4 linked regions of the Lepisosteus oculatus genome follow. The protein of the gene in region 1 purifies or fractionates together with the protein of each later gene. This does not show direct contact. Links are inferred from orthologs where the notes say so. Each region holds a gene or a part of one and is shown on either strand. Other genes may lie near its edges.

What was found.
Region 2: the proteins of stx7l (region 1) and vamp4 purify together in Homo sapiens (affinity purification with mass spectrometry; 3 studies listed by BioGRID and IntAct, counting the BioPlex papers as one, with this or other methods). This does not show direct contact. The link is inferred for Lepisosteus oculatus from reciprocal best matches to the Homo sapiens genes STX7 and VAMP4.
Region 3: the proteins of stx7l (region 1) and napgb purify together in Homo sapiens (affinity purification with mass spectrometry; 3 studies listed by BioGRID and IntAct, counting the BioPlex papers as one, with this or other methods). This does not show direct contact. The link is inferred for Lepisosteus oculatus from reciprocal best matches to the Homo sapiens genes STX7 and NAPG.
Region 4: the proteins of stx7l (region 1) and slc31a1 purify together in Homo sapiens (affinity purification with mass spectrometry; 3 studies listed by BioGRID and IntAct, counting the BioPlex papers as one, with this or other methods). This does not show direct contact. The link is inferred for Lepisosteus oculatus from reciprocal best matches to the Homo sapiens genes STX7 and SLC31A1.

The regions. Positions count from the first base shown.
Region 1 is NC_090697.1:4,612,033-4,620,028, reverse strand, and holds the start of stx7l (syntaxin-7), read right to left. Parts: upstream 3,012-7,996; 5' UTR 3,004-3,011; coding exon 2,992-3,003; intron 1,666-2,991; exon of another isoform or gene 1,629-1,665; intron 1,289-1,628; coding exon 1,165-1,288; intron 1-1,164. UniProt on the Homo sapiens protein: May be involved in protein trafficking from the plasma membrane to the early endosome (EE) as well as in homotypic fusion of endocytic organelles. Mediates the endocytic trafficking from early endosomes to late endosomes and lysosomes.
Region 2 is NC_090704.1:31,384,800-31,392,126, reverse strand, and holds the start of vamp4 (vesicle-associated membrane protein 4), read left to right. Parts: upstream 1-4,320; 5' UTR 4,321-4,538; intron 4,539-7,327. UniProt on the Homo sapiens protein: Involved in the pathway that functions to remove an inhibitor (probably synaptotagmin-4) of calcium-triggered exocytosis during the maturation of secretory granules.
Region 3 is NC_090701.1:56,736,925-56,744,468, forward strand, and holds the start of napgb (N-ethylmaleimide-sensitive factor attachment protein, gamma b), read left to right. Parts: upstream 1-4,525; 5' UTR 4,526-4,640; coding exon 4,641-4,696; intron 4,697-6,469; coding exon 6,470-6,537; intron 6,538-7,544. UniProt on the Homo sapiens protein: Required for vesicular transport between the endoplasmic reticulum and the Golgi apparatus.
Region 4 is NC_090719.1:255,804-263,100, forward strand, and holds the start of slc31a1 (high affinity copper uptake protein 1), read left to right. Parts: upstream 1-4,295; 5' UTR 4,296-4,482; intron 4,483-5,229; exon of another isoform or gene 5,230-5,399; intron 5,400-5,910; 5' UTR 5,911-5,992; coding exon 5,993-5,997; intron 5,998-7,297.

The sequences.
Region 1 (7,996 bases):
TACCTTTTGAATTAATATCTTATTGTTTCATTGCAACATATCTCAGTCAAATTTCAAAAGTGGGGAAAACAGAAAGCATGCCTTAAGTTTTCATTTCAGACAACTGAAGCTTTTTCACCGTGGTGTTAATCTTATCACCTCCATCAAAAACTGTAAATGTGAGTACTTCTCACATCTCAACGAGTCAGATTTTACAGAGCACTCTGACAAAGAGAGCAGATGCTCTTGCAGAAGCATCTGAACACCCACATGCAATCTGAACAACAATGTGAGCACTTTGCCTCTAGATAACCACCTTACTTCTGCGTGAATCAGAAGCTACGTGTGACTACTATTTCATTACAGAGCCCGGGAAATAAACCACAAATTCCCAGGTCTTGCTTCAACGATATTCATCGCTTTCACAGCAGAATCTAACACAGTCGTCTTGCCCTCAGGCGGTCTCTTCAAGGCAAAGCTTCTTGATGGAATCTACAGCGAGTTCATTTCATGTTGCCCTGACATCTGGCAAGATCCGTTCAAACTCCAACAACACTGCCAGTCAACACCACACTCCTCTGCAAACCCATTCTGTAACTCACTGGAATTCAGTAAATGGGCATTTTGATAGGCAGTGGCCTGCAAAACAAAATTTTACATGTGCTATTCCCTAATATTCCTATCTAATGTGTACAAGCAGTTTGGCTGAGTCAGCGACTTCTGTAGTTTTATCTAACTGCAGTGTGAAACAGACATTTTACACTCACTCTACCACCATTTTCAATGTGGCTTTATCTTTTTTTTTTTAACGGTCCCAGTTTAAGCCACAAATCTATTTTAAATAACCGCAAAAGGAAACTTTAGTTTCCACATAATGGATGTTTCTAAAGAGGAATTAATTTTTAACTGGCAAAAAAATACGACGTCAACTTGTCTTATGCAACCTTATCAGAACATTTACAAAGGCATTGCTTGGATTAAAAAATGAAATAATCATAAATGTACTGTACATACATTAAAAAAAAAAACATTAAAATAACAATAATATACAAATATACAGCCAAAGATCAAATTTTAATTAATAATAATAACTTTTTCCAGAGACCACCAGGGGGCCGCTCAGTTGGGAACCTCCAGCCTAGGTTATTACAGTACATATCCTGACCATGTAAGAAAAACACTTACTTTGGTGGGTTATCTTTTGGATGTTAGAGCTTATGGCCTGTGCCAGCTGATTTGCATCCCGAGGTATTCCAGATTGGTAAGACATTGCAGCATCAGGTGTTTCTTCAATTTTTAAAAGGCACCCTGGATGGAAAAAAGAAAACTATAATAAATAAATGTAATAACACATAGATATTTTACTTCTTGGAACGTACAGATTCCTTTACACATTAATGATTGGGGGAACTGTGATATCCTCTGAAAGGTCTAAGTGAAAAAGTACTGAATTATAACATAGTCATTTACTAAAACAGCAGCACTTAACAGGACGTTTTGTGATGACATTTTAAAATGTGTAACGTTTAAAATACAGTCATTTTTATAGAAATATTAATGTCACATGAAATACTGTGGAATTTTTATTTACCAGACCTTCCTCACCTTACCTAAAATAGGACAACTTACAGTGTTTAGAAATGTTTTACCTGAAGCGTACTCACAAAGGAAAGAGTAGACTGGATAACAAGCTGGTACAAAAAAACAAAATGACAAGGAAAAGACATTAAGGAGAATGTTGTAAGAGGAAAGCAAGTGCCACTCAAAAATAAAATGAAGTAATAAGCAAGTACATACAAATACAAAACGGTAACATATATACCGTTAAAAATGGCAGGATTCAATCAGTGAAATAATTATTCGTCCCCGGCTTGTAAGTGATTTTCTAGCCATATACCTGAGCGGCAAAACATGTTACTCTATGTACAGTATTTACAGACAAGGCATTTCAGAGGCCTAGCCTTCTGGTCAACCAGAAATCCCCAGACTGCTCCTAAGCACTAAACTCTTAATATGCCTACTGAGGCCACAGCAGCCATATCACTCTGCAACTCACAAAGGGCAGCCCACTGAAGCTAAGCAGGTGTGAGCCTGGTCAGTACCTGGATGGGAGACCTCCTGGGAAAAACTAAGGTTGCTGCTGGTGTTGAATCAGCTGTGATCTGCCACTTGGGGGACACTGACAGCCCAGATTACAGCCTGCAAGGTCTCGACCAGTGGCCACCAATTATGTTCCTTAGAGAACCGCTTTGAACGATATGACAGTGAAGTGCTGGAAAAGACTTTGCTCCATGTTAAACTACCCCAATGACACCCACGTCACTTATTATAATTATACAGTGTTAAAAATAGAGTTGTATAAATTGACAAAGTAAAATCATATATATATACATAAGAATAACATGCTCACCAGCCACATTACTAGTGTAATACTGTATACTGTAAAAGACTGGCAGAATTCTGTTGCACACAAAATAATTCAGCTATATAAACAACCACAAGAGGCCATAATTTATTAACTTTATTGAGAACCAAGCATGGATAGAGCTCTGCCACTTGCAACTTAAGTTTATGTTGCGCACAATCAGCTCATTTAAAAAAAACAACAACTTTTCACTCAAGTTCTCCAAAAAGTTGCATTTCACTGATGGTTTCTCCATGCAAGTAAAGCAAACATTACCGTTCCTCTCAAGAAGACATACTATCTTTGTCATAGGATTCACTTATTGCAAGAAATAAACTGAATCTCTCAGACCTAAAAATTTAACTGTTTTCTTGGCAGTACTAAGAAAATACGCCTATTCCTATTAAGCAAGAACATAGATATATTATTATAACAATGTTGGGAGACTTTTTCTCATAGCAAGAACTGAATGCTGGCAAATACAGATTACGTTTCCCATATTTTCACTGCGTTTCATACTGTACCTCCTAGGCACATTACTGTGGAGGTTTACAGCTTTGCAGAGTGCAGCCATTAGGCTACAGTGTGCAGGTCAGATTTGCATTTTCCTGATCTTGCATGAAGCCAAATTTGTCTAATCATATTTAAACACAGACATCTCTTTTCTGCTGAAGCCACTCCTCAACAGCAAATCATACAGCAGGTGCATGTGTGCATCTTTAACTGATGCTCTCATGTGATTTAAAACTGAAGTTTGGATCTGTTGGGTACTAGACCATAGTACCCCATTTGTGTTCAAAACTAACAAAAATGTCTTAGTAGCCCATCTGTTCTAATTCTGATGTATTCAAAGCATGTAGTGAAAAATCAAGGCTGGATCTGACAATGTTAAACTCTTCAGAATAGAGTCAGCAGTGACACAAGCTTGGGTATCCAGCACGGGAAGCCGTTTCTCCGACAAAAGCAGTTCCTGCAGAGAGAGCGTTTAAAAAAATGGAAGTCTAAACAAAACATTCCATCTCAATATCAAGAAAAAACAATGCTGAAACAACTGAATGATGCGTACTGAGTATTATGTGCATCAAGAATGAAGTATAAACTCGTATTATTGCTAGTGTTGGATATCCTAACATGTTAATACCTGTTAACTGATGCATCCACCCACAATAAGGAAAGGCCTATTAATTATAATTATTACAACAAGGACTGCAAGATTATACCACATTTCCTTTTCAGCGAGATTCGTTCTACAAATTCTTCCCAATACTAAGGGAGTCCTTCAAGGTGTTTTTCCACGGTCTTTTCAGCCAATAGCCGCCGACTCTCATATCCATATTCATGTTGATGACAGCCATCTTACAATCACCTTACTGTCATTAACAGTCAACTTACAACTCTGTCTCAATAAAATTCAGTTTAGGTGAACTGCACTTTCTCCTAAACTTGGCTTAAGTTAGGGTATCCCATAGAAACAATTCAAACTCCTCCATTAGTTACAATTGCTAAACAAAACTTGAAGCAAACAACCAGGGGGGCCCACGTCAATCAGTGAGCTTGCAGTGGAGGCATCTGTACAAGATGTTTCCTCACTCACTACTCACTTGACACTCTGTTTCTTCTTATCTTTTCTTTCACCCCCACCCAGCTATATTTCACACCCCACACCGCACACAGTCACCACACTGTCTTTTTCTTGGTCTTTCAAACCAACGCTCACAACAGCTCTCAGGCCGGCATGTCCTCTCCCCTGCCAAGGTCCTTCCAGTGGCGACACGCCAGCCGTCCCTGGGTGCCAGAGAGCCGGCGTTCGGGCAGGTAAACCCCGTTACTCCCCCGACACAGAGCTGGGGTCCTCCCAGCTGCACGTCCCGCTCCTACAACTTCCACCCACTGGGCGCGACGAAACAGGAGAGGAGCCCCACTGTAGTCTGAGCAGCAACCCCCCACAGTTCCTTCCTTTTCTGCAGGAGCTGTTCCGGGCCCCCAGGCCTGCAGGTCTTCTGCATGGGCACACTGTTCACTTTCGCGTGAGCTGTGAAGTGGCTGTGACTGACAGCCCCCTGCGATCCTGGGCACACCTCTTCTCTGGTGCCCCCGCAGACCCCATACAACCAGCCACGAGTTTCTGCAGCCTGCAGACCGACCGCTGTCTAGCCTTACGGCCCTGCTGCCAGTTGTGAGTTGCAGTGGGTTTCACCCACGCATAGGAGGTCTGGGAGAGTTCCCCGACAAACACGGCTGCTTTGAAATGAGCCGTTGTCTTTCTCCGTCTCTCGCAGAGAGAATCCTTGCAGTGGCCCTGCAGAGTGTGAGAGCCAAGCAGGCCCTCTCTGCAGTCCCAGACCCCAACAATCCCCTCAGAAAAGTCAGACAGGCTGTTTACAGTCTGCTTACAGGACCACCCACAGTTGTGACTTATCAAACCATCAATTCCCTACAGCTGCAGCTTCCGGAATGGACACTGGCTGATAGCCTGTCACAATATAAGAAGGCTCCACGGCCGAAACGTTGCGTTTTCTTTCTTCTCTTTTCAGCAGTGGACAAACCTACTGTATTACTTGTTCCTGTCACAATAATATATACCACCCTATATCATATCAAGATACGACACCCGCACTCAATTTTGTGATTCTTTAGTTTTGGATTAACTGCCTCTCTCAACATACTGGACAACTTCACTTGTTTAAATTCATTTACATTACTTGAATTGGGAAAATACATTCTTGTCTTCATTGGTCCAGTTCTTTGCACTAGTCTATAATTTAAGACATAGTACCTTTATCTGACTAAACCTCCCACAGGTTATTACCCTCTGAGTTTTTTTTCCCAGTTTGTAGCTACAGATTGTCCCAGTCATTGGCAGAATAAAGCTTAAAGTATTCACCTTTGTATCTGTGGGCATTTTCAAATGTATGATTAAATGTTTGCCACCTGATGTTACAATGTAAGCCTCTTGACCAAGTAGTAATTATAAATGAGAATGAGGTAAGCTATAAATCCTGTAAAGGCACAATTCCCACATCCCCAATCCCACTTGGTTTCACAGGCACTGCAGAAGCATTTATTGCATATTGTTTGGTTTACAAAGCTAATGAACAATTTCCTTAAGCCACCACCCAAACTGAAAACTTAAGATTGTCAGAGCTCTAGTTCATGTGAAAGCACTATTAATGTATGTTGACTAATAAAATTAATTGACCAGGAGTTCCTAAGATACTTACAACATTATTGCACAACATTATGTAAGCAGTTAGTGCAAATAATTAATGATTCCTAGCTCCCAGATTCTCTTCTTAAAATTTCACGGGACCTCCTGAGTAAAAAGTAGTGAGATCTCTCAGCTGAGCACAGGCTAAGCTCTACAATCACATGTTCGGGCCTGGATCAGGTCGCTAGCAAACTGTGACCGGGATTCAGTAAGCTATGGCCTACATTTGACTGAGCACTACCAAGGGGTAGTGTGGGTTTAGTTGGCTGGGGCTCTTTCTGCAATTACAGACACAGTAGTCCCTTCCTCCTCCCAGGTGTATGCAGGCACATGGTGCTGTCGGTAAGGGATGTACCTCTCCTCCAGCTGATTCGCAGCCTCTGACATGTTGAAGAATAAGTGGGTCAAAGGTGAGAGGTACAGTAGCTTGAAGTCTCCCTACACTGTCATTATCCCCTGTGTGCAGTTGCGGGTTTTTACCAGCAAGTCCAGATTTTGGGGAAAAAAACAACAACTGGCCATTTCAAATCGAGAGGATATAACAAAAAAAAGTTGATACTTAATCGAAAAAAACTAAGTAAATATGTGTAGCAGATCATGTCAGGGAATAAACAATCTAATCAAATGGTACAATTAATCAATGTTCCCTGTGATATATTAGCAGTTGCTCACTAAGTGTAATATCGCCATACCGAAATTTGAATGGGCAAAACAAAAAGAGTGTTGGAGAAATTTGCCTGCTTCCCCTAAAAAGACAGCCAGGCATCCGTCTCAGAAATTAGAAGAAGTTTTTATTTCATGAGCATGGGAGCAAAACATACAGAGATGCTCAGTGTATTTTTCTCCAAGTGATTAAATTAGAACAGTCCTTAAATATTTTTCTGTTATCTCTCATGCTTCCCAGCGCTGATCAGACTGGCAGCATTCCAAGATCACACTCTTCTTCCTCTTCCCTATTTGCCAAAGAGAACTTCTTTTAACACAATTGGTTAGTTACATAGCACGCTTTCATACAGTATATAACACAGTATAGAATTACACAGTAGCCCTTGTATCCAGCATTCTTCCATTCCAGTTCAAAGCAGCTCTGTATGTCCATCTCATAAAATACTGCAGCTTCAGCAGAAAAAGTGTGTACTAAGTACACAGAGACCCTCACAACAAAAGGCTATTTGGATGCCAAATTCCAACAGAAATCAACATAATTTTAATGCTTCTTGAGAACAATGTGAAATGGCGGCCATATCACCCTGCAGCTTGCAACTGGCCGCCCACTGAAGCTCGGCAGGAGTGAGCCTGGTCAGTACTCGGATGGGAGACTCCTGGGAAGCTATGGTTGCTCCTGGAAGTGATGTTAGTGGGACCAGCAGGGGGCGCCCACCCTGCGGTCTGTGTGGGTCCTAATGCCCCAGTATAGTGACGGGGACACTATACTGCAAAAAGGCGCCGTCCTTCGGATGAGATGTAAAACCGAGGTCATGACTCTGTGGTCATTAAAAATCCCCGGGCATTTCTCAATAAGAGTAGGGAGTTATCCCGGTGTCCGGGCCAAATTCCCCCCCCCGGCCTGTACTGTCCCCCTGTATGATCGCCTTGCACTTGCCCTGAGATGGACTGGCGTCCCGTCCAGGGTGTACCCTGCCTTGTGCTCGTTGCTTGCCGGTAAGCGGTTTGGTAAATTACATGATATGACATGTAAAATGTGACTACAGTCACCACACACTTTAACCAAAGTATCTGTCCCTTTCACTGTCTAAAGAACATGAATCTGTGTAATGATAAAATAACAGACTTCTGCTAGAACTGAGCAGTATTTGCCAGTTCAGGATTTTGCGGTATACTTCATTATTCTTAAAAAGAGTTAAAAACACTCGAACTTCAATCCTTTTTAGATTTGATAGGGATTGACTGATATTATTGTTAATTATTTTCCCTTTATAAAAATATCAGCATCAGTTCAAGTGGGCCAAAGCCATTCCACATTTTGCAGTGCATCAAACCCACGCAGAAGAACTACAGAGCTGATAATATTTGACAAATTCATTGACTTGCAGAATAAACCAATCTACCCACAATCCTACTGAAATAATCATTCTTTTGAGGTTCCAAAGTAGTTCCAAAATAGCAAAGGATGGATTGGAAATATTAAGGAAATAATTATGAGTTCCTAAATATTAAATATAATCTGGTTGTTCAAGCTTTTTTCTGATTTAAAGAAGTGCCAATAAAGCATGACTAATGTTTAACTATTTAAAATCCCTATAAAAATCCTGTTTAATAACATTTAAAATTAAATTTGATAAAATATGGTACATAGGCAAGAAAGTCAGCAGTCATGAGATTAAATACAAAATTGTGACTGTCTTCTTATGTCTTCTACATACATCGATGGAGTTTTAGTTATT
Region 2 (7,327 bases), on another chromosome or scaffold:
TTATAAACCAGAATTGATATATTCTTTGTTAGAACAAACTTCACTGCACACACATGCTAAAAGTAATGTTTCCATGCTCTTCCAACTTCCTACGGGAGTCCGCTGTCTGAAAAATTGTATCTTTACTTTATAACTTACACTGAAGACGTACAGGGGCTGTGATTAATTGATGGCATTGTCACAAAACGGTACTCTGAATTTGTTAGTATAAAATGTATTGGTTAAAAAACAAGTTAATTTTTTATTTTCAGTGCACAACTTCAGGATGGAAGTGTTGTCTATTTCCTATTCAGCTCTTGTCAATTCCAGAAGCTGCAATGAATTATGGGAAGGCCATAGGTCATGTTGCAGGTTGCCTGCTGGGAACTCTACTGTGCAGGAACAAAACTTCGCATTTGCATTTTTGTGTTCATGTAAATCCAGCTTAACACAAAAACTGAATGAGCCCTTAATAAGTACATAAAATTATCTGCACCCCACCACATTCATCAAGAATCCTCAAAAAAGGGGGAGAAGGAGTGGAGATTGGAGGAGTTGTGATAAATAAACTTCTATCCCAAAGAAATGCCCCCAGGGCCTGGAAAAAGGGAGACCATCTGGGACATATCAGTCACAGTATTCCTGGACTCGCACGGTTTGTTATTAAAAACAGGTGACTGCTCTTCTGTGTTTGGAAAGAAGCGAGGAGAGCTGCCTATTCCAGGCCTCCCTCCTACCTCCCAGCTCGGAAAGGATCAGGAAGTCTGCTCCACTCATCAGAGCGCGGCTCTGGAGTTTATTTCCGACGTCTCGCAGGGAGACGTTCCAGCGCTGAGGTCTGGAAGACGCCTGTCAGAGCTAGCGGAGGAGGGGGTAGTTTATACACACTCTGAACACTAGCGCAGTTGTAGCTTGTTTAGTTTTGTTTGGAACATCAAACAGTAACTCCCACCCTTCTTCTAACGGCTTCAGCCTCTTCAGGGTTGTGTTGGAGCCAGAGCCTGGCCTGGCAAGGTGCACACACACTTTAGGACCAATTTTCCCAGAAGCCAATTAACCTTCCAGTATGGCTTTGGACTGCGGGAGGAAACCCACACAAACACAGGGAGAACATAAACTCCATGCAGGCTGCACCCCAGGCCTGGAATCAAACCCAGGGCCCCTGGGTTTGTGAAGCAGCAATGCTACTATCAAGCCATCCAAAACAATAACAATGCAACCAAATTTGTCCAGAGAGCCCCAACATCTCTTTGTCTAATGGAATGGATGAGTATTTTTTCCTTAAGCTTTAGAGAGAGGAGATCCAAAGCTGTATCTGTCATCTGTGAATGCTCATCTGGCTGGTGGATCCCCTCAGGAGGGCTCTGGACCCTGTCCTTGTGAGGATGAAAGGGTAACTAAAGGCTCTTAGCTTTGGGAGAGATGATGACAACCAAGTCCTTCATCCCAGCTGTGCTAAATCATCATTCCCAACCTCTCTTCTCAAAGCTTTATTTCTAGATCTCTATCATACCCAAATCCCTCTTCCCCTTCTCCAGCTATTTCCACCTGTGCTGCTGCCCCTGCATGGAGGTGCCAGCCTCCTCATCCCACAGCCTGGGGGCCAGACCTCACCCGAGCGGGTAGAGCCAGATTTCAGCCCGTCCATCAGACATCTTCTGAAGAAGATGAACTTCAAAATATCCAAAACAAGGGACTATGGAAGGAACAATAACTGAGACGTGGCTGTGATGGACCCTCAAAAAAAGTAACTAAGAACAAGGTGAAGCCATGAGTTTAAAGACACTTTTCTAAACAGATGAGCACGGTGCCTGACACCCAGGGCAGCACTGTCCCTCCCTGCTCCAGGAGGAGCTGAAGCCTGTCCACGTCAGCACTGTCCTCCTGCTCCCAGTAGACATTTTGGGCCTTTTCCATCAGGGGACAGCAGGCAGTCGGCTGGGCTGAAACAGGATCTCTTCGAGATGCAATTTAACATCAAAATTCCTCTCACTGGTTGACATGAATCACCACTAAAACTAACAGATCTTTAAGTGGGAAACACCTTCCTGTCTTTCATCGTTTACGGTGTAGCATGCTTTAGTAAACCAAACCTCCCAACTTTAGGACCAAGTCATTTCAATTTGCCACCGTTATTGTGAGAGGAGCAAGATGAAAGGTGTGCTGAAACTGTCCACTTTCATATCCGAGAGCATTTTAAATTACACAATTAAATATTTTCGGCCTGGTTCCTTAATTTGTTTTCTTGTTGACATTACCACATCCCATTTCACTACTTCCTGTTGCATCATCAACTTCTTGTTGATTTCCGTTTTCATTCTTTCACTGCTTTGTTTTCTCTGCAAGTCTGCTGTGAGTCTCTTGGCCAGGTCTCAAATGTAAATGGACATTTGTTCTCAGCTGAGTTCTGACGGCTACAGGAAGGTTTATTTTTCCTCTGCTTCATTTGTACAGTGCCCATGAACAGATTAATCCATCAAATCCATATTAAGAGGGAATCCATACAGTACGTCTTGTACCTTAGGAAGAAAGAAAAGGGGGAAATTTTAGGGTATTAGAAATGCCTTTGGTGTTGAGCTCTCACGAATGGACTACATCTGCCACACAGATTGCAGGGAATAGGCAATACTGAGTCACAGCACAGGGGCCACAGAATGGTTAGTATTGTGAAGAGGGTCAATCGACACACACAATCACAAAGGCGCTCTGTTCATAAGAGAGCAGCAGTGACAGCTGTTGAACCCCTGAGGATCTGTACTGACACCCACCCACCACTCTCCCTTTTGACATGCCTTCCCACGCACGTCTGGACTGGACAGCTGTGGGGAGGTGACACCGGCCCCAGTCGACACCCTGTGGCTCTCGTCCCATCCCGTGCGACATCGGGCCATGCGGGAACATCACCATCGATTGCTGCGGTCTCCCTGTTTGATGTGGTGAGGCTGCACTGCTGGCCTGGAAGCGGTCTGCCGGATAATGAAATCAAGACTGTTTTGAGCAAAGCCCACACAGTGGCAGCGTGGGACAAACAATCTGGCCTTCATTTCATAAACCCACTGCAAGGAGCATTCCTTCGTATCATTATTGTTTTTATTTTTCCATGACCTCCCCATCCATACCACGTTCTAAATCCACAAACACAAGTCAGACAGGTTGTTAATATCGCATCTGAGGCCCGGCAGGAAGCTGGGAAGCTATCCACAGACCTTCACCCAACTTCCTTACGGACAAGAGAATTCCGCAGGGCGCCAGCTGTTGGACTCCATTCAGCCAAACCCCCTGGAGATGAAACTGCGGAGACGTGCAAGAAGTTCACGGCTGTGTTTTGCCACGGCTCAGAATTCGCTCCAGTATTTCTAACTCCAGTTATGTTTAATGGACTGCGTACTGGTACGCACCGTGTACATACAGACTCACAGATACGATTTCCATGTCTTGACCATCTCTCGTTACATCTGAACCTTTAAACCATGGTGGTGGTCAAGTTACTACAATTTCACGTGATTTACTGCTGATGGAACAATATGTACCCGGTCAATCGTTATAACACCAATAATGATCATATTCTAGCAAGAAGAAAAAAAAAAGCACACAATGAGAGGAGCAGAATTAAATTGCCTCCCTCAATGTAATTGAAGTATTTTGAATAAAGTATTTTGAATTGAAGAATTGCAATAAGGATTTGGAATACAGTGGAAAAGCATAGGGGCGGACGCCGAAAATAAAATCCATTCTAAAGAAGAATGTTTTGAGTCTTGAATTTAAGTCTCGAGTTTAATTAAAATGTCACATCGGCTCTTATACACGCACTGCGAGGATGATGTTACATGACAAATCAGATTTGGATGTGACTGCACTGGGACCGGATGGTGGGTCATTATGGGTGCAGTTGTGACTCGGCCCATACAACTGTTCGGCTCCATAAGAAAATGGGACTCTTTTTTATCATATTAATCAAAAAATTAAAAAAGGCTGTCGAAAACCACTTATTTACACTTCAAAGATTTCTCTCCTCTGCAGTGGGCCGTCATCACAGATCGTTACGGAAGAGTAAAGCTTTATAAAAGCCTTCACTCTTTAGTAGACTGTGCAGTTTGGGGCGTTTGGAAACAAATGCCAACGATGCTCAGGTCCACACAATCTGATCCCGCTACTTCCGCTTTCTCCTCCGTCAGTACCCATAGCAACAGGAAATCTTCCAGTACGTGACACCCCGTCAGCGAAGATCTTTAGTCTTTTTGCGTAACACTTTACGCTCCCCACAGCGCTGCGGACTGGCGTAGTTCCCCGTGCTTGGTTGGTGAATACAGAATCTGCGAAAGGCAGTTGTTTAGCTTCCCGGTCAGCTGTGAGTGAACAGGAAGAGTGTTTCCCAGTTGAATTACGGATACAGCAGCTGCAGGCCGGCAAGGCTGGAAGTCACAGTTATTCGGTCAGATCTTTTTCAGAGGCTGTTCAATGATGAAAGAAGAGTGACAGTTGTTTTCTGAATAATCGAGAGTTTAAACTCCGGGGACTGCGAGTGGACCAGGCCGATAGACACGTCAGACACAACGCAGGTATAAAGATCTTTGTCCCCTGGCCTGTCATCGCCGAGTTCAGTTCAGATTTTGAGTTCAAACTGAAACAGTGGCGACTGCTGGTTTGTGCCTCTCTGCATCTGGCGTCTGCCCTTGGTTCTTCCTCACAATTGAGGAACATTTATCATTGCATTCTGATGTAAAAGTCGAACAGATTGGTCATTTACTCGTCTTTAGTCCAACGTGTGTGCAGGTGTTAATTTCTGACACATCCATCGATCGCAGGCTGGTTTTCCTGAACAGAAGTGCCTCCTGTCCTCAGAACTAAAATTAGTTGCTCTTAATTTCCGTTGAGACTCCCTGGTTCTGGTCTCCGTGCGAAGTGTGACGTGGAAGATTTAATGTCTTCAAGATTTGACTCCTTCCTGTCCAATTTTTAGAATTTTAAACGTGCTACTATAATCTCCTGTAGGGTGTATTTCTCCAGCATGAGCAGGTTAAATTCTTTCACTCGGTCATCACACAACAGTGGTCTCAATTCGAAGTTCTTGTCGTTATAAAGCAGTCCGCACTCATTGACTAGGGATCAACTAATTAAAATGGTTAATTACTGCAGTTAAGTGATTGAGAGGTCAGTTTGAAGACTCGTGGGGTTTTGGCCTTTCAGTTGGGATGGGAAGGTTGATGTGCTATTATTCCTTTTTGAGCAGGATAGTGAAAGAAGTCAGTAAAGTCATTGGTGCACAACAGCTACTGCTGCCAGACATCTGTACCACACCAGTACTTCAGAAGACCAGTATAATCACTGACTCATGACCTGCCTTTGCAGAGTGAATATGAGCGTGTACGTCAGGATATGGATTTAGACTACCCAGATTTAGGTGCAGTAGAACTAATTTACCCATTATTCCCAAAGCTATTAACCTGCTTTGTTTGGACAACCGATATTGTACATTTTACTTTATTTTTTATCATGCTTAGATTTGATCATATTTTGTGTCTTGTGCAACTGTCTCATCAAGTTTCAGTTTTCTGTCTAAATGGAAAAGTTTATTTAAGATGCTAACTTGTTTTTCTCATCTTATGCAAGTATGTTTCTTATTTGTTAAGGGGATCATGTTGTGTTACATCTGCAACTGTATGTGTTGTGTTATGTGTTTTACTTCAAGTAGGTAGCCTGCGTAGGCTGCAGAGGAACAGGTAAAAGTTTAGGTTTAGGTTTAGGAGAAGCAAAAAGACACAGCGTTTTAGCTGTGGATCCTGAAGAAGAAGCCTATTTTCTTTTCAGCATGGACTGAAACTTTACCTGTTCCAATGTATTTTACTTGCCTGGAAAGCACATTTCCCATCTGGGACAGTTACGGAAGTGAGTAAGCCATGTCTTGCCAGCACTGCGCTGCTGATATCTTCAGGTGTCTGATATCTGGAGTTATGGTTGGAGCCCAGCAATCTTGGAAAGCGCTGATCTGCTTGGAACCACTGACGGAATTGGCCACCGCTGCTGCAATGACTCTTGATTGCTCCACAACGTAGACTAATCATCAGGAGAAAAAGTGAGGTGTTGTTACTTGGGTAGGGTCTATCAAGAGTGAGCTGCCATTGTGTCGTTGCTGTGGGAGTTTTCCCTTTGCCCTTGACTGGCACATCGCACCACCATGAGATTACTGCGCCATCATTAAATTGAGCATAATTGGACCCATTTCCACTTAATTATTTCAGTCTGGGGTGGCTAAAGCCTGTCACTGTGTCTTCTGGTTTTCATTACACCCTGATTTCCTAACTATGTAATGGGATCAATTCTTTGCTTGATCAGAATTCGTGCTTTTCCCAGTCCTTTTGTCCCGGTGGTGATGTAAAGGAACCTGTAACCCGGGCAGGGCAGGTACTCTCCAGGACCAGGGTAAGCTTGCTCTGATTTTTAAGGCCTCCATCACGCCTGTAATTCAGGAGGTGGAGACTCCTGTCGTGCGCAGGAAGGGTTGGGACAGTGTGGGCAGTCATGTGGCTACACTTGTGAAGACGCCTCTGGAGGTTGTGTCATTGCAGCCCTGTCTTTTCTGTGTAGATATCAGTAGTGTTGAGTAATCACTGTCAGCATGTCTGGGCATCGGTGCACCCAGTGAGAACGCCTGCAAACAACCAAAACCCTCTTTAAGACTGCTGTGTGTTTCATTTATGTGTTGAATTGGGGGAAATTATCCAGTTCTCCCCTTGGGTTAACTATGTTTTGGAGGGTTAATTAGTCAAGGTTCATGGTATTCTCTGCTATTGATTAAACGTCATCTCTAAAGTCTGTATGATTGGGACTTTATAGGAAGGGGTATTTACAGTATAAATATTTTATAGGCTTACTCTAACCCTTGGGCAAGGTGCATCTCTTGCAGTAAACCACCACCATCAATTATAATTATTTTAACACTGTAACAAACAGCAATTTATTTTCGCAGTAAGTGAACCTGAGATACCTGTCTACTAGTTATACTTGCTGCTGTGTTGAATATGAGTGTTTTATTTTCCTGATTTTACAAGCATGTAAACCACACGACCATGCATCACATTTGTCACCTGTGTAAGTTGTTTTGAATAAAATGTATTTCTTGATCCTTATCTCTCTTTTTTCCATCCATCACACTCTCTCTGTTTTCTGTCCTCTCCAGTTCATCCTGCAGCCCCAGTTGAGCTCTGTCCCATTTTCTGTATCCCTTCTCTCTGCATTCTCTCTCTCGTTGTGTTCCTTGTTTACTGGAAAACTCAGGGCTGCTTCTGGCCTCTCAGGGTTTCCTGGGAAAACAGTTTTCCAAAAAACCTGCCAGGAAAGCTGGAAACAA
Region 3 (7,544 bases), on another chromosome or scaffold:
GGAGTTTGTACGTTCTTCCCTTGTCTGCGGAGGTTTTCTCTGGGTGCTCCAGTTTCCTTTGACAGTCCAAAGACATGCTGGTAGATCAATTGTCCTCTGGGAAAACTGACCCTGGTATGAGTGTGTCTATGTCTGTGTGTTCCCTTGATGGACTGCCATCCCGTCCAGGATACATCCTACCTTGCACCCTAAATTGATGATCCTGAATTGGATGAAATGATTATTACTATTACTATTGTATATCCATATTCAGTACCTGCTTAGTTCAGTACAGGGTCATGGTGTAGTTCTTCTTAGTATTTATTATTAGAAAATATTGGTTTTGGAACCACATTTAACATCTAACTCACAACATCCAATCACAAATGCCTCCCCTTCCTCTGTCTGTGTGCTTGAAGCTCAGCCACTGGGTTTCACTGTCGATCAGGGAAGTGACTGTGGATGTTCGATATAATCGTTGTTTTCAGTCTACACACACAAGAAGTTTCCTAAGATTGTAGACTGAGATCGATCTTCGATCTGTCCTGCAGGGCTACAGTTATTTATCCTGGGTGTCCTTGCAGCTGTGAGCTGTGATGATTTGAATTCAGTTTTAATTGGGCACCGCTCCCTTCCAGGAAGACTCTAGCAGAGCTGGGTGGGGCCTCACTGGAAACATGAAGCCTGAGGTCTGGCCTGTGAGTTATACGTCGGTGATGGAAACCTTGTGTGCATGCACTCAACACAGACGAACACGCAGAGCCCTGGGCTTTTCGCATTCGCTCACACACTCCTCAAACAATGCAGGAAACAGATCTCAGACAATCGACAGCAGAGGCCCTCCAATTCCATTTTGACCTTTGCGTTCTCTTTCCATAAACGTGCAACTCAGGATAGGATGAATCTTGTGTAACGTAGAAACTTTGGTCTAAGAAGCCATTACAATGTGTTGCGTTGTCTTACCTATCCACAACTGGGGATCTGAGGGAGCAAACACACAGGTCAGCAAGAAGATTTCAGTCTTAAGTGTGGTGTTCGGTTTGTTAAAACGTAGACGACACTCACACACATCTATATCTGGATTTTGAACTGAATTGTTTTATTGGAATATTCTCCTTCATTATACAATCATTTTCACACCTATGGATAAAGTACCAGTTTTTTAACCATGTATAGCACTGGTCCAAAGTGAAAATCACAGTCCCTGCCTGTGTAAAGAAATGGGATTTTTCCCTTCATGCCCTCTCTGTTGTGTTGTTTTTCTAGTGGCACTCTTTTAATTACCACTTGTCTCACAATGCACACAGCAACATAGATACACAGGCAAAATCACACAGCCTTTCTTCAGCTGACAGAATATTTTTTCAATACTTTACACAAGAATATTACAGTCCATAACAAAGAATCAATAAAAGGGTGAGATTTTGATCTCAGATTAAATGCAAAGCAAGTTGGAGCATCTAAATAAAATGTGCAAGGGGAGCCATCTAGTGATTTCAGATCTGCAAGACCACCGCGTGTTATCCAGAGGCGCCGTTGCTCTCTCTCTCAGATTCTTTACAGATACAATACATGTGTTTTCAACGCAAATTCAAATAACAACATGGAAGTATATTGTACTGTTCTCCACTGATGTGCTGTCTTATCTGATTTCTTCATAATGCTTTGTTGTCTGAATGTGCTGCATCTACAGAAGTTCAAGTAGGTACAGGAGCTGCGTCAGCATGCGTAGGCTGCAAAGGAACAAGTAAAGATTTATTCCCCGCTGAAAAGAGAAGAAAGGAAACACAACCTTTCGGCTGTGGAGCCTTCTTCGGGTGTCAGTGTTGTGATGCTGTTTCTTTTCTTCTCTTTTCAGCACGGAACAAACCTTTATTTGTTTCTGTATATACAGTATTAATGTATATTGCATGACACTGATCAAACTCAATTTAATTCAAATTAATACTATGGAGAAATCCAACATTTTGTTTCTGTCCTTAGTTTTATAACAAATTACCAATTAGCGAAATCAGCATGTTTTCTTAGCCTAGCAGCCCTGAGTAACAAGACAATTCATTTTCACAAGTTACAATACTGACATTGCAACCAACTGGATAGATATTATGTGACATTTATTTGATTTTAAGTATTAATTCTGGATGATAAAAAAAGCATTGGAAAAAAAAACATATTACCCAAGTGTTTAATTCAACCAGTGTTGTGATTACAGAAAAAACAACCTGGTGTCCTTTAAAGTCTTGTTTCCTAAAGTACGATTTAACAATTTAAGCCGACAATCACAATATTGTATACACTTGGGTTTGGTAAACCTTACTGGATGATAAAGTATGTCTGAAAATATTCTTTTTTCTGGCTGACCCACTGAAGCTCATGAATACACATAAGTGGTGTCTGGGCAAACCGAGGGAAATGATGAATGTCTGCTCCATGCTCCTCTAAACCACACAGAGGCCCGATCTGTGCGCTGAATAGGTATATTGACATTATACAGACTTTGCAACTGGCAGCGCAGTAATGGTGCATGATGGGAATGCCCTGGTCAACTGCTATTTACAGGAAATGTATGGTTTTTACAGACTCAAGTCCATCAAAAATACCACAAAATGAAGATATTTTTTAATTTTCCTGTTTCACTTGTTGCCAAGGAGTGGGAAGCAGATGAACAATTGCCATAAATGAACAAAACTGCTGGACTGGCTAATTTGACCACGAACCAACTGTTAAAGATGAAAACCTTTGATTTCACATGAGAATGAATGCTGGTAACTGATGATGTGGAATACTTGAAGATCCTTTTAATCAAACCTTTACATCAGGCCACATTAAAAAAAACAACAGAATATTCGATCGCTTTGAAAAAGGAATGGCACACTGCGTAAAATGTAAAATTTGTGAAGAAATTTGCACATTCATAAATGATTGAGACAGTTCCTCGGTTGTCAAAAAGGGTCTGATAACCCTCATTTTCTCTATTTTCACTTCCTTAACACTGTAGCCCTCTGCACAGCTCCCTCTTCAGGTACTGTAATCAATACGAAACTTTCTTTCTTTAATAATTGAGCAAATGTTAACTATGAAGAAAGTATTTTTCACAGGCTAATTCAAATCCTCTGCTTGGGTATTATCATGATATCTCATGACTGGCTATACTTCCAATCACATAATACCCAGCTCCAATGGATTACAAATTATAGAACTAAATATAAACCATATAATATATTAACTCATGCCAAAAGCTGATTATTTTACAACGTAAAAAATGCAAGGCTATCTCTGACAGATTTAAAGCAATACAGTATTAAATTCCTTGTTAGTTTCATTTATAAAATGGCGCACACAAAACTTTTTCTGTGAATTTAATGATTTTGTGAAAAGACTAGTTGAGAGCAGATAATGATAGATTCTGTTTTCACTACCTGCACCTTCACTTATCTACATTAAACAACAACATTAAGGTGAATGATAATAATAAATGATATTGAAATGTATCTTTTTTTTATTCCATTTGCTAATCCTCATGTTTCACTATCATCTGTAAACTTGTTAGTTTACTAATTGTACCAGAACCTGGATCGTTGATATAAATGAAGAGCAGAGGTCCTAGGACAAGTCCCTGGTGGTCTCCTCTAATTACATCTCCTCAATTTGAGCATTCACCCCTCGTCTGTACTTTTTTTCTATTTATTAACTAATTTTCAGTCTAAACACACGCCTTTCTCTGAATGCCTACAGCCTGAACATTCCCTTGGATACAACATATTGTATGTTCTGTGCACGTCCATTACCGTTGTTAATTGTTCAAAGAACGTTTAACAAGCTGATTAGGCAAGGTCTATATCCATAATGCTCACCTATATGAAATAAAATCTAGGATCATAGTTTAGTTGTAATAATTGTTTCCATATCCTTATTTGTAATAGAAGTCAGGCTTATTGGTCTACAACTTCTCGCGTCACTCTTGATATTTTTTTTCTTAATCCTTACTGGTTCTTTTGGTGTCGCAGTACTGAAATGACAGTTCTAACCTCTATTGTAATATGTTCTTTAGCACCTGACTAATATCGGATTTTAAACCCCATGTACAACTGTTACTGTTATCCCACTCCTTTCTTGTCGTTGTACGTTTTATGCGCAGTTTATTCGCACGGGCAAAACAAATCAACACAGTGCAGTACTTCCACCTGGTGGATAAACGGCATACGGTACGTGTCACCTAAAAAAAAAATGATTTTAAGGCTGTCACCATTTTTTAGATATCACTTTATCAGCCACGATTTCTTGCATTAGGAATTCGTCTTTTCACATACTCCAGCTTGCTCTACATGAGACACACCGACACACGGGCAGGCAGAATTAGTCGGCACCAATTATAATGGCAACAGATACTACAATCCTAGCATCTCGCTGAATAAAGGCGACATGACGTGTCAGAAATACTGAGCTGAGTTGGAAGACTCTGGCGCAGCTGGGCAGCTCCGCAGCTGGCGCAGCTGGCGCAGCCGGGCCCGTGAGCAGTACTGTCCCTGTCGGGCACCCGTAGTGACGGGGGCGTCTCTCTCTCCCTGTCTGTGCAGACAGCGCTGTCATATTTCAGCTCTGCAGAGGGGCACTGCTTCCAGGTGCTTGTGCTGGGTCTGTTTTCCCCCTGCCGCGGGACCATGGCCGCTCAGAAGATCAATGAAGCACACGAACACATCGCTAAGGCGGAAAAATAGTAAGGACGATCGTGCTCGGCGATTGCTTTATTTAGGTCGGGAATCTGCAGCCCTTCTTGCGTATGTTTTGTACAATCAGGCTGGGATCACAATTTTTTTTTCAGTGTCAGTTAAATTATATATCAGGGGTACTTTACCGAGCGAGACATTTAAATTATCGTGGGTTAAACTCTCATAATTATGTATTTTCTTATTCTAGTTTCTATCCCACGGATTATTTTTTTTTCGCCTTTTTTAAAAGACTGGCTGGATTAGCTTTCGGGAGGCTCCATGCTGATTGGTCAAGAGCTGTGAAACAGATGGCGCAACATTTACCGAGGATTGTAGGGATTGTAGTTCTTGTCATTGACTCTGCCCTCTCTTGTTGTGATCACGATATATCTCAAATACTACATCTACCACCATGCCCTATGGTAAATTCAACGGGCGAACGTGGATTTACTTCCTGTGCTGTCATGTCATGTGAATTTTGAGTCTGAACATTTGTTAGGAAATTGCTGAAAAACGCCAGACAATATGGAAAATTTATCTTGTGCAATCAGTAATACTTCATAAACCTCACATGTTTGTGTTTTTTTTTAATAGCGTCAACAAGCTAGAGGTGCTCTTACCTCTAGCTTGTTGGCTGAAATGATGTTGTTGTTGGTTACTGTGCCTCTGAATTATTGCCCCCTTACTAGAGGTATACTCCTACTGAGACGTCAGCAGGGATTAGGAATTACATAGATCTTGAAAATACTCCCATTTTTCTGAAAGCAGTGTGGACGTTGTCTTTTGCTTCTTTCACTTCTGTACTTCTGTACAGGGGATTTTAACAGCATTTCAGATTGTGCGTTGTTACGTATTTATTAGTGGTCTCGCTCACATTACACACGGTTACTCCGATTGTGGACTATCTAATGCTAAAATAGTCTGTGAGCTGGTTTCACAGACCAAGATTAGCTCGCTACAGTATACTCATAGAGTTTAATCAAATACTTTTAACACATTCACAAACCATCCTTGATTCACATGAGTCATAAAGTAAATAACAATGGAGCCTGATAGAATAACTGTGAAGAGCTGGGCCAAAATATCAAAATGAAAGTGCAGAGTTTATGAATCTCCCACAGTCTAGGCAGGTGCTGTTATGAAACCTAGTAAGCCTTCTTATGATGGAGCGAAGCCTAAATTGTTTGGTCCCTTATACATAAAATTATTCTTGTATTTAGCTTGTGATGTCTCCTATAGCAAGCACAATTAAGTGGCAAATCATCAATTTGACCCCTAAATCAAGGTCTTTTGACTCCATGTCCCAACAATCAAGAAGGAAACATATGGGATACGGTATTTTCAAAATATGAAAACAATAGCAGTAACATCCTCACAGGAGTAATACTAATAATACTTCGGTCCTGGGACAGCTGTCTTTTACCTCCCCAAGCACACACTGGTGCATCTGTCTTCCAGGATCTGATATTTGATGAGAAAAAGTTACTCAGACTAAAAGAAGAGAATTTCTTTCCAGTGGGAATGAAAAAAATGTTGGGGTGGTAGGACCCCAGAATACGAAGATGTGATTCTTACAGGCACCTTAAATTATACTACCTTTGCTGTTTAATAGTGTACTGCAGGTATAATGCTCTATGGGTTGGGTACAGAACAATTGGAAAGGATATTGCTTCAAAGATAGCTTTCCTGAGCCACCTACTGTATTTAGCACTTGGCTTGGTCTTCCTCTGTGAGACGTACAGTATTCAGTAAATAATTGCTTGATTCTTTTTTCGTCATAGTTTAAAAACGAGCTTCATGAAGTGGAAGCCTGATTATGACAGTGCCGCAGCAGAGTTTGCAAAGGCAGGTAAGAAACAATGTGTTTCACTAAGATATCAAACATCTCTTTCTGCTGTTATCATCCATACCAGTAGAATTTGTGAAGTCACGCTTCATTGCAACTAAGTGTTATAAGACGAGCTGCAAGGGTATTTGCTCCTCTTAGGATTTTCCGCTCTGTGATCTGTAAATAAACTGTTGCAATGTGTAACGCGACAGAAATCAATATTTGGAAGGGGGCTGTATTTTTTGCCGTTAAGTATTTTCCCAGTTTTCCCAAGAAGTGATCTGATGGAAAACTGAAGATGGTTCCAGGAAAAAAAAGCACTTCCCTATGTTTTGAAGTGAAATGGCTGCTGTGTAATCAGCATGTACTTTGTGTTATGCCGCGGAGTCTTTTGGTAATTTGATGACTGGGAGAAAAATATTGGAATTTACATTTCGATAAAAAATGGGGTGGAGCGGTGGCTCTGTGGCTGAGGATCTGCGCCTGTGGCTGGAAGGTTGCTGGTTCAAATCCTGCAGCCGGCAGAGGAATCCTACTCCGTTGGGCCCCTGAGCAAGCCCCTTAACCCCAACTGCTCCAGGGGCCCTGTACAATGGCTGACCCTGCGCTCTGACCCCCAGCTTCTCTCCCTGTCTGTGTGTCTCATGGAGAGCAAGCTGGGGTATGCGAAAAGACAATTTCATAATACAAGAAATTGTATATGGCCAATAAAGTGATCTTATCTTGTTTCAACCCACATATCCCCCTCGACTGCCTGTGTCAGGTATTATGAATGAAGGCACAGTACATGTAAGACCATGTCACTCAAGACAGTTGAGTCCTTTTTTTACTGTGGGTTGGCAACTGAACATTTCTTTTGTGTGTGCTATAAACGAAGGTTGTAGCACACATACGATATAACCTTTTCAAAAGGTTTTAGTCTTGTGTTTCTATAGCAGAAGTAGTAACTCCTAAAACTGATCCTTTACATGATCGTCTGTGAAAGGTTATAAACGAGCGGAAGTTCTTCGGCCCATCATTGTGTTTTC
Region 4 (7,297 bases), on another chromosome or scaffold:
GACCAGGCCGGGACAGGCGCTGCTCAGTGCTGATCTCATTAATCCGGAACCCACAGCACACCCTCTAGCCTGATGCAAGGCACCACGTCTTAGCAGTGAATTATAAAAATAATGTAACCAGCTAATAATGGTATCAAAGATTATTTCTTACATGTACAGTTGAATTAATTCACCTTATTCAGAAATACATTAAAACAGATCAGCAGTCCGTTCTTGTACGGTTCACAAAACGTCGTGTATTCAACTTGCATGTTTAGTTTATCCAGATTTGACTCCAGGGAGCTCCACACTGTAACTTAGGCTCCATCTAGCGACGGAGAACCGCATTACCTCGCAATCACTATTTCACATTGATATCTGCTAGAAATGTGGATATCATTTTGTTCATTCGTTTTCATTTATAAGAAGTTCTTGTCATGTGTGTGCATATGCGTACATTTTGTTTGGCAGACGGGTGTTGTTCAGTTTGAAAACCAGTCTATCCTTTATATAACTTTTCACGGAAATCCAAGCCTTTTGACTTCCAGCGAGTATCGTATTAAAGCAAGCAAGCACGTCACACTTCAGACTGTACCCTTGGAGATCTCCGCAACACGGCCCACTGAGACGTGCGGAGCTGCACGGACTGCGGTGCATTCCCCGGAAGATCTGAGCTGGACCTGCTGATCCTGAAAGCAACAGCGTCTTTAGTTTCGCTTGATGTTTATCTTCGCGTGGCTAATTTAAACGTTATTTATATTTCTGTTTGTAACACAAGAGACGTGACAAAGGAAAGAAAGCCGTTTAGAAGCTAACGATCCACGCCGTTTCTTGAAAGAAGTCAATCCTTCAGCAACCGGGCCGGACAGGTGTTCCCTGTTCCGCAGCTCTTTGTGTAAAGACTCCTCCTGTACTCAGTTGTAAATCAATCTCAGTTGCATTTCCAAATAGTTTCCACTTGCATCGTCTAGTTTCAATTTCACATAAGTCACGCTGATTAGGTACAATGTCAACATAACATCCCGTGATTCATGTTCTACACTTTCAAACATTTATCGTAGCACTTTGTTTGCCGTTTGTATCACTTACCCACATTGCCTATAAGAATTAAATGATGCATCACTATAAACACCCAATTCTTCATTAGTAGTGTCTTGAAGCAGTTTCCCATTTCATATTTATAGTTTATGTTTTTGGTATTCACAATTAAATGTAATCTGCCGGAAAATACATTTTATTTTATTTTTTGCCCTCCCTTGAATGTTCTCCAAGTCTTTTAAAACGTCTTTTGCTGCTTATGTAGTATTTGCTATATAGACTTGTATACTTTAATATCGGAACATTGATTGTTAGGAAAAGCCAGACTTGTCAGATCTCCTGTGGTACTGCACCACTCTGAGCATGCACATATCTGTACTGTGTTTTCTATTGGCCGATTCTGTGATGTTTAAAAAACAAAAACACCTGTTCCTGCGCTATTATGGATACTGGAAGATTCACTTGTAAGAGAAGCCAATGATGAACTCTATAGATATGATTGTGCTCTCAGAGGTCCCTTGTTTTCTTATACAAATAGGAAAACACGTATAACAGGTTTATTATCTGTAAGAATCCACTATTGTCAAAAATCAGAACAAAAGTAGTGCATCACTACTATTAGTGATTGTCTGCCAAACTATCCTACCAACACAAAACTCTTGACAGCTTTTAAATTCAAATATGCAGATGAGAATGCTGCAAAGTATTAAACAGAAACATTCACACAGATACAGGTCTCCAAAAATCAATTAACCTCATGAAATCAGGCTTCACGATGCTTTTATTTTATTTTGCGTAGAAAATCTGTTGCAGATGGAATGAGCTGGTAACTGGTTAAATGTCAGCCGCTATAAAAACCCAGAGTCTGCTTCTTCTCTTTAAGAGCCGGTGGAAAGACTGTAGGCAGTACTAGTGCACAGGAGTTACTGATGATACTGGCATCTGCATCAGCTGGTAATCGTAGCTGAAGCACGCTGATCACTTTGATTGTGAAGCACAACAGATGTCACAACAGTTCATCGGGTTAGGTGTTTTCTTTTAATTTTTAACCATGTTCCCGAAAATGTATTGCTTGTGTACTCCTTTCATTGGTGAAGAGATACCAGTTTCCAAAATGCCGCTGGTTCAACACGAGAGCCCATATTCACATTTTTAGGTATTAGTTTCAAGAGCGATATAATTTAACAATTAAAAACAACATTGAAAGCACGAGCATAACAATATAATGATCATAGACTTTACATTTCTATTCATTTTTGAAGTACAAAGCAGGTGTTTCCTCTACCTTAAATATACGATTAAAATTGTTCAAATACCATGTATTCCTTACAGAACATGTCGCGACATGATATGACATACCCCGACAAAAATGCCCTGTCCTATGTCGCGACATGGAGTCCGTATATCGCGATATGACATACCCTGACAAAATGCCCCACCCCCATGTCGTGACATGGAGTACATACATCGCGACACGTCTATCTGGGTATATCATGTCCTGATATGAGACCTGTTGCGATAGCTGTGGCAGGGTGGCATGGAAGCAAGGCGCCAGTCGTGATATACACTGCCGCGATATACATGCGATATACATGGGGTCCCTATCATGACAAGCTGCGGAGGTCTTGCCCGATGGTATCCCACAGTTACGCGTTTGGCAACAGGAAAAGTCACGGTAGGAAAAGAAAGGAAAAGGAAGAAAAGGAAAAACAGAGATCTTACAATCACGGTGATTTTACGTAAATTACAGCCACAGGTTCATGTCATAGATGGTTAACTTGTCGGCATGCGTCATGTCTTAGTATTATTCACATCTAAGGAGGCTCATATGTTTATGGATATTGATTGTCTTTATAATGTTAATGGTACGAGCTAAACTGTAACAGAGCGCTTGAACTCGGCAGACGGGGTCACTGGAGGTCAAAGTCACTGTGTATCTCGGGAACGAAAGCAGCACAAACGCTACTTTCAACGGCACAAACCGGCACAAACGTAGCGCTAACGAATGAGGTGGGTTTCATCGTTTGTGCTGTCTGTAGGGGGGGCAGCTTCACGGAGCTTTTAACTTGCCTTTACGTAAGGATTTCAGAGGTTGGAGTAAATGCATCGCCCCAAGGGTAATATCGAGTGAGGCTACATGAGAATAAAAACTGCGAAGGTATAAAAATATTAAGTTCTAAATTCTTGGTTGATCCTTCATAATGCTTTTAAACTTGTATGTGACCCACGAAATTAGTATTTTTTTCGATGCCAAAACCTAATTTGGAAATTCACACAAGACTTAACACTGAACTGTTATAGTCGCATTACAGTGCTGACCAATCCATCGTACCTTTAATTTTAAGAATGGTCTGCTAATAAAAGCGTCAAATACATACTTAGGATGTATTTTAGCGCTGTAAACGTCGTTCACTTAAAAATACTGCAGGGCATTTAGAGGCGATCTGAATAATTATCTGTAAATGCATACTCGCATCTATCTGTCAACATTATCTCAATGTTATTCATGCATTCCAAAACATGTAATTTGTTTACAGGAGATATTTTAGGACCTCTTCGTGCTTAACTCCTACAGGTCGAGCATGTATCTGCTGCTTGTGTTCGGGAAGCCAGGCTGTACTCCTCAAAACCCAAGATGCCTGTAGCATCTCATGTGTCTTATTTGTTTCGGGACTGGTCTGGTCATCTACAGGCGGCTTTTTGAAAAGCGTAGATACACTTGATCTTAGCCAAAAGGCCGATATTTCCCCAGAAATCGCGTTAATTACAATGAAATACTGATCAAAATTAATAGAAATATTGTATTAACAAACTCGATGTAATTATATATTTCAACGTCAGCATTGATTAATTGTTTAATCCAAATTATACCATTCTTAACCCAATTTTAAAAACAAGGTTTTATTTCTAACTTTTATATAAAGTTGTTCCAAATAGTAAATCTATGAGGGGAAAAGTTATGTTTACACATAAGTGACCACGTTAGAAGTACGTTTATGAAAACTAGGAAGTTTCAAGGGGATTTTTCCAATGTCAAAGTTACACTTAAGTAAAAACTCTATACCCCTAATTCTTGAAATATCAAATTGGGGATTATATGCCACATACTTTGCTAATTATTTTAATAGTTTTGTATCCATTTAATCTTAAAAATAGCATTAGATGTCCTAAAATCTAAAGCATTTAAGCCCCCTTCTGCCTGTGGACGACAAAGAATCTATTTTTTAGGATATTGCGGTTTTTGCGTGTGTACATGTGGCAGAGCCGGAAGCCGGTGAAGTCCCGTGCTGCGGACACGATGATTGGCGGATCGCTTGCAGCCTGTGTGTTACGTCAGCTTGCTGCTGCGAGAGGTGTCTGGGTCCTGGGACGGTGTCGGCTGGTCTGGAGAATTTAGCCGGTTCGCTTTGTGCGGGATTAAGCGGAGGGGAGAAACAGGCACTATTGGAGGGTGTTCTGGCGAGGGTAGGTATATCCGATATTGGGCCGTGTGTGTGTGTGTGGGATGTGGGGAGACAGGAGGTCTGTTGTCTGCAGTTTGACCTCTGTTCTTGTGCGCTTCTTTATGACGATCCTGAGTGCCAAGCGGCAGATGTTCGCGTGTGTTAGTGAGCGCTTTTTGATGATGAGTTTACGTAGGATGTTCAGGGGGTTTCTGTGAGTTTGAGCTTTTTTAAAAAAATAACAGTCGTCTGCTGGCGTTTGCGGATGAACTGGTTACTGGTTCCCATTGGAGATGCGCAGTCCGCACACCGGTGTGTGTGCCATCTGAAGGCGAGAGCCGTGCAGGATTGCATCAGCGCTTCTGCGTCTCTTCATATCGCTGTCAGATCGATGCTTTTGGAGAACATTAAACTGCTCCAGTCGTGCTGTATGTTCTTAGGAAGAGAATCGCTGAAGTGTAATGAAACCGCTCTCCAGAGGGTGCGGGCAGCGCTGTGTCAGCTCTCGGAGTCCCGACTGAGCAACAGGCACGCTGGCCTCCTCTGACCCACACCCCAGGTCACAAAGGGAAGTGGGGGAGACCACACAGAGCCCCAGCACCAGCCCGAAGCACACCATACAAGCTGTGGTTGGAAATTTGTTTTGTTTTTTTTTAGAAATAACCTTCAGGTCCTGCTCTGGTATTTCAGTGTTTGTATTTACTTTTGCGCAATTTCCTGTTGACTCTCACTTGCAGTAAGTACAGTCTGCTCTGGAGGGTTAGCGCCAAAGTCAATACTACACTGTTTACCTCCTAGCTGGGCTCAGGTTAGCTGTAGTACTTCCAGCTCAGCTACAGTGACCAGCCTGTTTTTTCATGAAGCCGAGAAGCCGAGGTTTCTACAGGAGTTTCTTCTTTCTTATGTGAAACATGGCCGTCTGCTGGGAGTCTGGTACAGGTACAGCAATATCGGCACTGAAAAGGGAAACCTTTCATGTTTTGTATTTAGCCAATTGCTATATTTCTATATAAAGAGGCTCAATAGAATTGTCAAGGCAAGTGCTGAGTTCTGATGCACTGAACAGTCTTGCAGGCAGGCTTGTCTGGTGTAGATGAAGAGAGCAGGAGTACGGGCTACAGTGTGGGCACTGATGAGCAGAGAGCAGGAGTACAGGGAACAGAGTGGACACGTCACAGTGTGGGGCGGTGCTCCAGGCTGTGTAGTCTGTGGGTTCAGTCCCAGATGGAGACACAGCTGTAGTCTTGCTGGTGCCCAAGCTGCTCCAACAAACTGAACACCAAACAAACAGGAAACACTAGTCTGTAAAAAAGAAGTAAAAGTAGACACCCATACATTTTTTCTTATTAAAGCATTACTCATATTAAAAATACTCAGATTGAAGTTTTTCTCTGAATTCTTTGGCTGTGTCCACATATCCAGGGTTATTTACAAGGCATTTTTCCACCAGGATCAAGTTTGCTCTGGCACTTAGGGAAGTGGTTGGAAAACGGTAGGGGTGCAGAGATCTCCAGGAATCCAATCTACCGGAAATGAGGTTGGTGGAAAAAAGAGGAATGAAATGAGTGTTGTATGAGTCAGAAACCCGGAGTGTGCCGTGGGCACCAGTGCAGACTGACCAGACCAGGTCTCCAGAGTCCCGCTCTTCAGGGGAAGGTTTGTCTTTCCGTTGAAGTGGGTCTCTGAATGAGCAACTCCTGAGGTCAGAGCTGCTGCTGACTCCCACCCAGGCAGAAGGTTTGTGTTGTTCAGTCAGTAAACGCCGAGCTGTGTTTTAATTAATGCGCTGTTGTCGTGGAACTTTGCAGTAGGGAGCTAGGATTGAGCCCTGCAGGGGGTCAAGAATGAGTATTGTGTGTTCCCTTTCTGACAGACTGGATCAGAAAGCTGCAAAGGGAGGGAAAGCAGTCTGCTCTTGATTAAGAGCTGTTATTTACCCAAGGTCACAATTTACCAGCACCACAATGCTTCTCTGAGGTTTGGTAGACGCTGAATCCCTGAGACTTGTCTGCATTTCAGTTCTTCATCACACTGAGCTCCTAAAACACTTCCCACCAGCCCCTTTCAGCACAGCATTGGTCCTTCGGGGATGTGTAATTTCAGGGATGTTCAGGAATGTTTTTTGGTATGTGGAAGCTGTAGGTACTGGCACCCACCTACATCATTTATATAACACCATTATAATCTCAAAATTGTTGCAGTTATAACATTATGCCTGTACTCAAAGCACCAATGACCTTGCATCTGTAAAAAGTTCTTTATGTTTAAAGCACTTCTTTTGTTAACAATACGTCCTTGGGATAATGACACGCAGCGCGTAGACTGCAGGCAGCTACAAATTCAGTTTTTGAAAACAGAAAGGCTAGAAAGGAAAGCCATCTCGCTGCTGGAAGAGGGGGTTGGGTGGGATTGAGGATTGTAACTTCTGTTATCTGGCTGTAAAGAGGAAATGGGCGGAGAAAGAAAAAGGAGAGAGAAACTTTTTCTTCCTTTCATGCTGCTGTATGGTGCCTTAAGTTCAGTCCTGAAATAAAGGCCTGGTGTTTGCTTCACCTCTCTAGCCTGGACTCTGATTCTTTTCCTGGCCTGCTGAAGAGGGTTACACTCATCCATCTGCCTTGACTGTAAACCAGAAGCACACTCAGGGTCAAGGTCAGAGATATAGCCCAGGAAGCAGTAACCAGATGGTCACAGAGGGCCTGTTTCTTGAGTGCTCTCTTGTGCTCTGGAGAGGAACTGATCTGTCTGCTCGTTGCAGTGAAACTCATTACATTCCAGATTATGAATAAACGGAACACAGATCTGCAGGGGCCAGAAAAACTCAAAGTTGTCAACAG